Cricetulus griseus: one gene and its partners. The main gene of each other region encodes a partner of the protein of the gene in region 2 in a complex. Links are inferred from orthologs where the notes say so. Each region holds a gene or a part of one and is shown on either strand. Other genes may lie near its edges.

Region 1 (3,648 bases), on a different chromosome or scaffold from region 2:
AGGATAAATGAAAGCTTAGTTTAAGGTATCACTGTTAGGTAACTCATTTGCTTCATCTCAGTATGTGAAATACAGAATGAATACGTAGTAGAACAGCCTATATGATTTGGCTTAATGTTTATAGGTTTTGAATATCTTTTTTTTTTTTTTTTTTTTTTTTTTTTTTTTTTTTTAGAATTAATTTAGTGTTTGTGAGGGAGTGGGAAACCATGGTACACATGTGGAAGTCAGAGGACAACTGGCAGGAGTCTGTTCTCTCCTTCTACCGTGTGGGTTCCAAGTATGGAACTCTTGTCTTTAGGCTTGGGGGCAAGTGACTTTGCCTGCTGAGCCATCTCTCCAACTCTTTTTATTTTTTTAAATTTAATTTTTACAAAATTATAATTTCACTTGTCAATCCCTTCTCCCTCTCCCTTCCCTCCCCCCAACCCCTCACCAGTCCCCTCCTTGCTCCCCCCTCTGCTCCCCATGGAGGGTAGGGCCCTCCACTTGGGGCTCCCCAGATTCCACAACATCATCCTGGGCCGGGCCTAGGCCCTCCCCCATGTGTCTAGTCCAAGAGAGCATCCCTTCACGTGGGATGGGTTCTCAAAGTCCCTTCTTACACCAGGGAAAAATACTGATCCACTACCAGAGGCCCCATAGAGTACCGAGGTATCCTCATTGACATCAAGTTTCAGGGTTTTGGATCAGTCCTGTGATGGCCTCCCAGACAGTAGTCTGGGATCCATGTGCTCCCTCTTGTTCAGGCCAGCTGTTTCTGTGGGATTCACCAGCCTGGTCCTGACCCCTTTACTCATCATTCCTCCCTCTCTGCAACTGGGTTCCAGAGTTCAGTTCAGTGTATAGTTGTCTCACCAACTCTTAATACCTATGCTAAGTCTGTACCACATAATCACATCCTTGATGACTGTTCCTCCTATTGCCTTTAGGCATGGCACTAGGATTTTAGGTCATCATAAATTAAAATTGATTTTTTTCACTCAGAGGATATCAAGGTAATGGGATTACCTGTGTATTCTCTGAAATTTGCGGGATCAAACAACTCTATTCTTTGACTGACATTGACATTGTTTCTGAATTGTGTGTGTGATGCCTGTGTGTGCACACACAGATGTAGTTGCTCACATACTATGGTGCATTCATGGAAGTCAGAGGACAACTTCCGGTGTTGATCCTTCTTTCCATTTGTTTGAGACAGGGTCTCTGTTGCTTTTCCTCTACTATATACACCTAGCTAGCTGTTCTGCTGTCTCATTGTCCTTGTAGCTCCCCATATGCTGTCCAGAGCATTGGTGCTATAGTGCCCTTGCTGTGTGGCTGTCTGGCTTTTACCTGCGTTCTGGGGATTCAGACTCAGGTCCCCATGCTTGTACAGCAAGCACTTACACCCATTGATTTCTATTTTTTAAATAGCTAATTAAAGTGCCACGATTGTGGTAGCTGTCAAGTTGGTCAAAGGATGTTGTAGGGTTTTTTTTGTTTGTTTTTAGACAGTGTCTCACTAGGAAGATCACGCTGGCCTTGAACTCAGAGATGCACCTACCTATTTCCTGAGTGTGTTAGAATTAAAGGCATGTACTACCATGCCTGGCCTAGGTATTGTCATTTTAATGTTTTTCAATATAAAATGAATATATCTCAGCTGTTGATTTCCATAGAAAAATTTAAAAACTTCTGAAATAGAAAATAGTCTGAGAGTATTTTAATGTAGAAACACAACAGAAGCATGAAAAAAGTAAAAAGTGTTTGGCATTTTATAGTATTACTGTGACTGTGAAGTGTCCTCATGGTTCCTTGTTTACAAATATCTTTTTTTTTTCTTTGTCTATTTGTAGCTACGGCACCACAAGTTATTGTTCCTGATTCTAAGTTGATACAACATATGAATGCATCAAGTATTACGGTAAGACTTGAACATGACACTTACATTGGCTTCAGTTATTTAACTTAAAAATTGCAATTATTCCTATGTGTATTGTATTTAACAGTTTGAGGATTATGGAAGATTTGAGCAAAATAGCTGTTAGCCACAAATCTAAAGTGTAGCTTAATCTTAAACATTAAAGTTCATACAATTATGTAATTTTTTCCTTAATACCAAATACTCTTTGTGGTCAATACTTTATAGCTGTAGGGAATCAGCCAAGCATATACTGACACCTTCTGTTTCAGAAAGTTAGTTAGTTGTAAGAGGAGGGGAATGCTAACAATCCAGGAAAGCCATTTTTTTTTTAAATTTTATTAGTTATTTGAAAATTTCATATGTATTTTATTTATATTCACCCCCCTACTCCAACTCTTCCCAGATCCACCCCTTATCTTTTACCTGCCAACCCAAGTTTGTGTCTTCTGTTTTGTTTCTCTAAACCATCAAATCCAGCTGTGTTGCCCATGCACACACAGCATGTGGCTTTTCAAGGACACTGTTTCTAAAGTTTCATGTTTAAAAGAATCTTTGCTCTGACTTAAACATAATGCACAGTTTGTTTTCCTGTAATCTCTAAATTCATACCTTAAAATGCAAAACAAGACTAAGCAGGTTGGTATGCACTTGTGATCCCCAGTACTCAGGAGACAGAGGCAGGAGACTGACTTGATGTTGAAGACCAGCCTGTCTGGGCAGTAAGTTACAGACTAGAGAGACATACAGACATACAAGACTGCACTCAGAAAAAGAAAAGAAAAAGCCGACGAGTTACTAAAATGCGAAATTATATCCAGGATTTGTATCAATGTATGCAGGAAAAATACCATCAATAGACCTTTGGGTTCACATATACAAGGTAGAGAGTGTGTGTGTGTGCGAGTGCGCATGCACGCATATACACACAAGTATTTTAAATCCGGGGAAAATATCTGATGTTTGAGATAGTTCTGAAACTTTTGGATAAGAAACACTCATCTCATTACATATTTTACCTAGATTGTTGTGTCAGTGTGTTCATGCTCCTTTTAGATAATGTGGCATCTTAGAAAAATTGCCAGTTATAGAAACCAAGGAATTCTTCAGATTGTCTTTTAGGGGGAGACCTGTTGATTTTGGGAGAAATGTAAAAATGAAGAAACAAGGATGGCTTGACTTTGGCCTTAAGTATATTATTGAAGCAGGAAATTGGGTGTAAGGAACCAAACAGTGGAAGGATGGCAGTCATGGAATGGTGTCCTCACGGTACAACTTTACTGTGAGTGCATGTATTTCTAAAAACATACTGAGTCTGTGAGAGCTTGAATCAGGAGGTTGCTTAGAGTAAGTTCTTTAGGGGAGCCAGACCATTAGACTTACAATTTCTTGAAAGACTTGAATAGGTTATTTAGGCTCTCTTGCCACATGAGCGCACCCTGTTGTTCGAGTGCCTTTCAGTCAGTTCTCCATGCGCTGTAAAGTACACTACAGATAAACTGAGGTCTACTTGGCGCGCACTCGTAGATACGACTTTCCCTTTGTTTTTCTTCTTGCAGAGTGCTGCTGCTACGGCTGCCACCTTGGCCCTCCCTGCAGGCGTGACTCCCGTTCAGCAGATACTAACAAATTCAGGTAATCAGAACAAGGAAAGCGGCTTAAATATTGTTCAGAAACTAACACCAAGTAGCTCTTAATGTTTTATTGTCACTGAAGGGAGGCAGTACTGACGCTTGTTAAGATCA
Region 2 (3,648 bases):
GGGAATCAACGATGTAATTATATTTTAATTTAAAATAAAATAGTGGCTGAGAGATGGCTGAGTAGTTAAGATTACTAATTGCTCTTCAAGAGGACCTAAATTTGATTCCTAGCACCCACATCGCAGCTAACAACTGTCTAATTTTAGTCTCTTGGGGATCCAATGCCCGCTTTGGGCCTCCAAGGGCACTGCATGCATGTGGTATACAGATATACAAGCAGGCAAACACTTATACAAACAAAATACATTTAAAAAGAAAAATTAATACTCAAAATGTAACGGTTACTAACTTAATCAGAGATTTTCAAATACAGTCATATTTAGGGAATTATTTTCATGGAGCTGCTAGTGTGAGAAACCAGAAACCCCTCCACTTAGACTACATCACCACACACAAATCAGTACTGCTCCTCTTGCCTTCTTGGACGGCCAGCAGCACATCAGACTGTCGGGGGAGTATAGAGCCCTCTGTTACTATGCAGCATAATGGTGTTGGGGCTTTCATTTCTCCCTGTTCCCTGAACCCCAATCCTCACTCATAAATTATCTCTAATAAATGTTTGCTTATTTATTTCTTTGTGTATGTGTGGGAGATGAACCCAGAGTCTCTCTCACACATACTAGGCAAGAGTTTTATCACTGAACAAGTAATAAAACCCTTATAAAAACAATTTAGTAAACAAAATGTCAGTCAATATTAAAAAGGGTTTTCTATTGCTAGGTAGTATTTAGTTATATATCAAGTTGGGATACAGCGTATGAAAGACTACTACACAGTAATTCAAAGGAATGAACTACAATTACATGCATGATCAAGAAAATACGCAGGGCTGGCAGGATGGCTCAGTGGGTAGAGTGCTTGACAAGTATAACACAAGTTCCATACCAGTTACAAGTTTCTCACACTCATGAGTCCCTTCCTGTCCTTTCAGAGGCCACCTACTGTAGCTATTGAGTGGCAGCCATATTAAGTGCTAAAATGGATGGTTTTGTCATTCATTCAAAGACTTAGCTTTGACTATGGATTTTAACACATATCTGTGCGGGTATTCACTAGAAAACAGCATTAGAAAAATGTGTTCTCAGAAATAACACCATAAGGACCAATCTATTTTCTTAGGGCTTTGGCACTGTTATTAGTTTAAGTGGATGCCCACATAGGCCATTGCAGCAATCCTTCAGGGTGAGCATGAACAGAGTACCTAGAAGCCCATCACAGGAGAGCAAGGAGTGAGTGAGTGAGGCATGGTCTGTACTGGGCTTACTGACTTTACCACATGGCAGAGACAGGATTCCACTGCACTCTGCAGTGAGGTATGGCTCACCTCTCAAGGTGACTATGGTATGCATGCTCATTTAGACTTGGTCCTGTCCTGCTTGTCTGCCCACGAGGAATTTATCAACAGATCCCTTCCACTCCCATGGGAGGAGTCCTTTCTTCACATACCACCCAGGGGTGCAAATACCTCGGCACACTGGACTTTGGCAATGTACCCATTGTTCTGCAGCTCCATCCAGTTGGCTTCATAAAGCTTGGGCCCAATCAGGAAATTTAAGTCAACAATTTTGTCATCTTCCCGAACAAGGGTTGCAGTCAAACCCAGCTTACAGTGGGCCTGCACAATGGTCAGCACCCGTCGGAACATCTTGGCTGGGGAAACAAAGGGAACATTCATATCAGCATTTTCTACACTGAAAAGGTACCACACACAGCTTGACACTTGGCACTGGTCTGTGGCACTGTATGTGTAGACCTTGGGACTAGAGAGCTGAAGTCTGGTTCCAGACAAAAACAAAGTAAGAGTATTTCATCATGTCTTTTAGACCTGTTCAAGAGACAGAAAGAACAAGGGACAAATGACTTCAAGGAGTTCCAAGTTCACAAATTCCAGCACTCTCCTACCAACACTGTCAGGAGTCCAGACAACAGCAGGAAGTATGACTTGACTCCAAGCCACACAAATCATTCATCCTGAAGCTGGGAGAGAGACAGCCAGCTCTGCTCTGCTTCTTACCATCCCCCCTCAAACCAAAGAGCAAACAGAGCTCATGACAGTGACGAAGCGAAGCCTCCAGTTCGCCTAAGCATCCTGCTTACCTGTTCCCCTCCTAAAGATACCAATTACATCAAGCATGGAAGTGCATGCCTTTAATCTCAGCACTCTGGAAGCAGAGGCAGGAGGACTGTTGGGAGTTCGAGACTAGCCTATCCTATATAGTTAGTTCCAGGACAACCAGGAATACAAAGTGAGACCCTGTCCCAACAAAACAAAACAAACACACAACAATACCAATGAGACTTATTTTCGTCAACAAGCAACTTTTATTTTCTTCCTTTGCTTTGATTATTATAACTCCTGATTTCATCAAATAAACACATAAATGGGAAACAACTTTTTAAAAATCTTGCGTGGGTATGCTTGTGTGTGTGTGAATGCAAGCACCCACATGCTACATCACGTGTGGACATTAGAAGACAACCGCAGGTATCCTTCTTCATCTTCCATCTTGTTTGAGACAGCGTCATTTGTGATACACTGCTACACATGCCAGTCTAGATGAGTAGCAGAAGCCACTCCCATCTTCCATAGGACCAGAGTGCTAGGGTTACAGATATACCCTAGTGTTGGGAGCCAAATCTCGGGGCTGGGCATGAGATCCTAGGCCATGCTTGGCAGGCCACATAGTTAACCTTTACATAGCAGCTCCTTAGAACCTCAGCTCAAGAAAAGAAACAACTTGACCCAGTCCTCCACCCACAGGCTCAGTCACCTAGACAACCCTTCCTGGACCTCTTACTCATAAACTCTTTATCCTGCCAAACATCCTCTTTGTGGCTTCCTAATATCCTGCCTACACTAACACCTGGCTCACAAACAACCTATTCTACCCCTCCCCATATCCTGCTCTGCCGACTATATTACCTAGCCTGAGAAAAGTAAAGTTTGCCACTTGATCAGAATCCTGTCTTGTGGTCGTTCTTTCTGCGTCTCTTGTCCCCATTCCCTATCCCTGACTCTCTTGCCCCAGGTTGATGTCCTAACAGGTCAGGACACCCTAGCACATCCAGCTTTTATGTGGGTTCTTGGGACTTGAACTCTGATCCTCCAATTTGTAGGTTTCCATGGCCATAGATCTTAAAACTTTTAACACTTTGGAAGAAGATTAAGATGTTTTAAGTTGAGAGAACAATGAGATGGCTCAGCAGGTAAAGATACTTGCTGCCAGGTCTGATGACCTGAATTCAAAGTCTGGGATCCATGTGGTAGAAGGAGAGAACCAACTCCTATGGACCACCATGCCCTTGATGTGACATACACATGCCCTCCCCGAAAATAAATATAAAATTTTTAAGTGTTTTGGGTTGGGCCACACATTTTGAAGATAGCCTATTCCCCACACCCACAGGGAGCTGTTACCCTACTTCTCAATAAAACCTGGCTTGCCTGTCTTTCCAAAGGAGGAAAAAATAAGAGTTGGAGTTGGAGGTGTAGCTCAGTGGAAGAGCATACACTTCACATACATGAAACCCTGGCTACAATCGTCAGTATCCCCACCCCTACAGACATGTGATGTGGGATTCCCTTCTGTGTGCTGTATGTTTTATTACCATCTTTCAGAATGACCTCCAACATATGAACTCATATG
Region 3 (4,294 bases), on a different chromosome or scaffold from region 2:
TTACCCATAAGCTAACAATCAAGAGTGACTACTTCTAACAAAGAATTCCTGAAAAAACTAAAAACATTTACATAAACCCAAATTGATTAATTTTTTAATTACTTAGAGCCCATAATGAATGGCACGAAAACACTAATCATGTTTACTTAAAAAAAAAAGAGCTGGTGTACAAAAGGACTTTGGGAGCCCATCCCACGTGGAGGGATGCTCTCTCAGCCTGGACACATGGGGGAGGGTCTAGGCCCTATCCCAAACGATATGACAGACTTTGGGGATACCTCATGGAGGGCCTTACCCTCCCTGGGGAGCAGAGGGGGGGATGATGTGGTGAGTTGGTGAAGGGCTAGAGAGAGGAGGGAGCAGGGATTGACAATCGAAGTAGGCTTGTTTCTAATTTGAACTAAAAAAAAAAAAGTAAAATAAAAGCTAAAATCACTTACAGGGTTTTTTAAACACACACACACACACACACACACACTTGGGTCCTTTGTACAGGTGGAGGTCGGAAAAAGGGATCAGACCCCCGAAACTGGAGTTACAGAGGATCATGAGTAATTATGTTGGTGCTAGAAACAGAACACAGGTCCTCTGGAAGAACAGCCGATGCCCTTACCTGCCTGCTGACGAGTCTCTCTAGCCCCTATTTGTTTTTTTTGACACTGAGTCTCACTTAGTAGTTCTAGCTGGCCTTGAACTCACAAAGCTCTGCCTGCCTCTTTTCTCCAAGTTTGGTGAAAAATAATTCATATTAAAATAATATACATTTACGTCCTTCAGAGCCCCCCACATTCTCAGTTAATAAACTCTTCATTAATAAAGTCACATTCAATCTGCTTAGAAAAATAAACAACCCAAAAGTTGCTACTTTTGTCAGAACTTGGTCTTTATCAACCGAGTATTAGTTATTCCTCTTTACGTTTAGAAAGCCCAGTCAGAAGGATACATCTTTTTGTCCTTTTCTTGTACATTATTCTGTATCCACATTCTCTGCATCTGATTGGATCCCTGGACTTTATTTCATTTTCCGTGTGACACTCTAGGGAATAAAACACGTTCAGTCAATGCCTGAAAGAGAAACACTACAGGGAACCAAATATAACCACAGACTTCGCCAGAGCAAGTCAAAGCCCCGAAACTAAATACACCAAGGAGGAAAGAAAAGAGCTGTCGGCAGCGTACCTTTTCCTGATGAAAAGACAAATCTTAACGAGGGACTTTTACATTAATGATGCTAAAGTGTTTCACTTGAACTCGCAGAGATCCCCCTGCCTCTGCCTCCTGAGTGCTCCGCTTTATAACTTTGAAGATCAGTACTCATATATGGAAAGTTGAGGTAAAATGTTCCTACTTAAGCAGGGCATTGGTGGCACATACCTTTAATCCCAGCACTAGGGAGGCAGAGGCAGGGGGATCTCTGTGAGTTGGAGACCAGCCTGGTGTACAGAGTGAGTTCCAGGATAGGCTCCAAAGCCACAGAAAAACCCTGTTTCAAAAAAACAAAACAAAAGCAAAAAAAAAAAAAAGCCAAACAAACCAAAAAACCAAAACAACAACAAAAAACGTTCCTACTTAAATGTTAATCTTACCTCCGCAAATATATATCATCGGCTGCTGCTTTGGGGGTTGGACGTCTTTCTGCGCGTCCATTGCTAGTGCCTGAAATCAGAGCCAAAGCTTGAATAACAAGATCATCACACAAAACCAACCAGGCTCCCTTTTCCCCAGCAGCTACGCAAGGTCCTGATTCCGGGGTGAAGAGAAAATCTCAGGTGTAGAATGTTTGCCCAGAACACAGCGGCTCGAGGATCAAACCCCAGTATTACAGAATGAGGGGGAAAAAAATCATAATTCCTTATTTGAAACCCCCCCTTCCCCACCAACTGTGGGCTGGGTCTGAAGGAGGAAACACATTCTCAACAACACAGAATCCATCTCGAAGGTCTACGACACTCTTGAAGGTGCCAGAGGGCATCACTCTTTACACTCGGGGAAACCGAGGCTAAGCACAGCTCTCTGTGTGCCCAGCGTCTCCCGACACTAAGAAGCAAAGGGGGGGGGGGCTGGAGAGATGGCTCAGAGGTTAAGAGCACCGGTTGCTCCTCCTGAGTTCAATTCCCAGCACACACATAGCAGCTCACAACTGTGTGCAACCCCAGTTCCAGGGCACCCAGCTGACATCCATGCAAAATACCCAATGCACAAAAAATAAAAATAAACTTAGAAACCCTGTCTCGAAAAACCAAACAACAAATAAACTAAAAAAAAAAAAAACCCACAAAAATCCGCTAACTCCGCCGGGGATCTTGTCATAAATCATTTTTTAAATTTATTTTATTTTATGTGCGTTGGTGTGAGGGTGTCAGGTCCCCTGGAACTGGAGTTGCAGACAGCTGTGAGCTGCCATGTGGGTGCTGGGAATTGAACCCGGGACCTCTGGAGGAGCAATCGGCGCTCTTAACCTCTGAGCCGCCCCTCCAGCCCAGTCACCGACCATTTATTTACGTTTATTTGGCTCTTTGAGAGGCTCCCCACTTGGTAGCCCAGGCTGGCCCGGAACTCACTTCATCGCCCAAGCCAACCCCAAAGCCCGGGCGTCCGTCTGCTGAAGGCGGCAGTCCCCTGCCTCCGTTTCCCGAGCGCCCAGGCGGCGTGGAGCCAGCTCTCCCGGGCACCCGGGAACTTTCTAAAACCTTCTAAAGCCAGTTTTTTTGCCCTCAGACCGATCTCTCACCTCCGCGGCTCCAAGCAGAGTCTCGGTACGCACACAAACGTTCCCCCGCGTCCTCAGTGACGGACTCACTACCGGCGCGGACCGCGCGCTTCCGGCGCTGCCTAATGACGCGCAGGAGCCCCGCCCCCGCCCCGTCCCCTCCGCCGCCGAGAGCCCGGGCTGGGCACAGGCGACGGCGGAAGCCGAAAGCAGCTCTCGCTCCGGCGGCGGTCGCGGGTTCGAGACTCGGGCTCGTCGCCATTTGCTCGTCGCCATTTGCTCGTCGCCGTTTGCACAGGGTTCTCTTTTGTTTGGCTGCCCTTCAGCGCGCGGCTCTCCCCCAGGCCCCGGAGATGTCAATTAAAAATACTTTTTTTCAGGACCGTTGGCTTAGCTCGGTGGCTCGCAGGGGTGAATCTTCAGGAAAACGGTCGCTTGAGCTGCTTCCTCCGCACACAGCCCAGCAGCCTGTTAAACGCTCGCCCTCAGCCACGCTACAAAGTCTCCCCAATCCTAGGGCGGTCAGGTGTGTCTGCCGGGCTAAGCCCCGGCTGTAGAGAAAGGGTGGTGTGGCTTCTCACTTGCTAGTGAAAGACTTAAAAATTAGCAAAGAAATATAGCCCAGATAAGGAAACTCTCCAAACTGAATGTAGGGCGGCCTAACTCGGAAACTAAGGCCACTATTAGGACTTAGGGCCTGGAATTTACCAGCCGCAAGCAATTACTCCCTTACAAGGCCATAATATAACTGGGTACCAAGAATTCCCAGATGGCCACCCTCCCCGAGGGGCTCATGAAAAAAACAGATTGCCCCACCGGCCAATGTGTCAATCATTAACAATTAAGTGTCCCTGTGAAACAAAGAGATAGGTACCATTTGCTCAAGCAAGCTAAGCATATCCTGAGGTCTGCAGGTTTTACAGCTGGTGGGTCAGGAGGCCATCTGATTCCCAGCCCTCTCCTCAAGACAAAGGGTCTCTTAGGCACCTGTGACTCTGGTCACACCCCTCCCTAAGCTTGTGGTTTTTGCCTTTAAAAAGGCCTGTGCCTGGGGGACGGGGCTGCTCTCTAGCCTGCATGCTGAGAGAGCCCCTTCGTACAAACGTCTACCTTTCATTAAAGCCTCTTGCTGTTTGCATCAAGTTTCCGACTCCTCATGATGATTGGGATGGCCGCAGTCCTGGGAAAGGATTCTGGAGGCCTGAGCTTCCAGGGGGCTTACATTAGACGTCTGAGATTTTAAGATTTCGTTGTTTCTTTGTTTTGTGTTTTTGGTTTTTTCGAGACAGGATTTCTCTGTAGCTTTGGAGTCTGTCCTGGCACTCACTCTGGAGACCAGGCTGGCCTCGAACTCACAGAGATCCGCCTGCCTCTGCCTCCTGAGTGCTGGGATTAAAGGTGTGCGCCACCACCACCCGGCTAAGATTTCGTTGTTACTTTGAGTTGTCTGTGTTAGTGCCAGCAGAGACCTGAAAAGGTCCTCGGAGCCCCTGGACTGGAGCTACAGACTATTAGAAGCCGCCCTACGTGGGTGCTGGGAACTGAACTTGGTCCTTTGCAAAAACAGCAAGTGGTCTTACATGC

What was found.
Region 1: Ercc3 (region 2) and Gtf2a1 share a complex: the UniProt entries of both Homo sapiens proteins name them as parts of the TBP-based Pol II pre-initiation complex. The link is inferred for Cricetulus griseus from reciprocal best matches to the Homo sapiens genes ERCC3 and GTF2A1.
Region 3: Ercc3 (region 2) and Polr2k share a complex: the UniProt entries of both Homo sapiens proteins name them as parts of the TBP-based Pol II pre-initiation complex. The link is inferred for Cricetulus griseus from reciprocal best matches to the Homo sapiens genes ERCC3 and POLR2K.

What each region holds. Positions count from the first base shown.
Region 1 is NC_048598.1:113,326,886-113,330,533, forward strand, and holds part of Gtf2a1 (transcription initiation factor IIA subunit 1), read left to right. Parts: intron 1-904; exon of another isoform or gene 905-1,047; intron 1,048-1,838; coding exon 1,839-1,906; intron 1,907-3,462; coding exon 3,463-3,538; intron 3,539-3,648. UniProt on the Homo sapiens protein: TFIIA is a component of the transcription machinery of RNA polymerase II and plays an important role in transcriptional activation. TFIIA in a complex with TBP mediates transcriptional activity.
Region 2 is NC_048595.1:205,095,510-205,099,157, forward strand, and holds part of Ercc3 (general transcription and DNA repair factor IIH helicase subunit XPB), read right to left. Parts: intron 1,652-3,648; coding exon 1,467-1,651; intron 1-1,466. UniProt on the Homo sapiens protein: ATP-dependent 3'-5' DNA helicase/translocase. Binds dsDNA rather than ssDNA, unzipping it in a translocase rather than classical helicase activity. Component of the general transcription and DNA repair factor IIH (TFIIH) core complex.
Region 3 is NC_048603.1:15,288,328-15,292,621, forward strand, and holds the start of Polr2k (DNA-directed RNA polymerases I, II, and III subunit RPABC4), read right to left. Parts: upstream 2,829-4,294; 5' UTR 2,732-2,828; intron 1,657-2,731; 5' UTR 1,648-1,656; coding exon 1,587-1,647; intron 1,037-1,586; coding exon 944-1,036; intron 1-943. UniProt on the Homo sapiens protein: DNA-dependent RNA polymerase catalyzes the transcription of DNA into RNA using the four ribonucleoside triphosphates as substrates.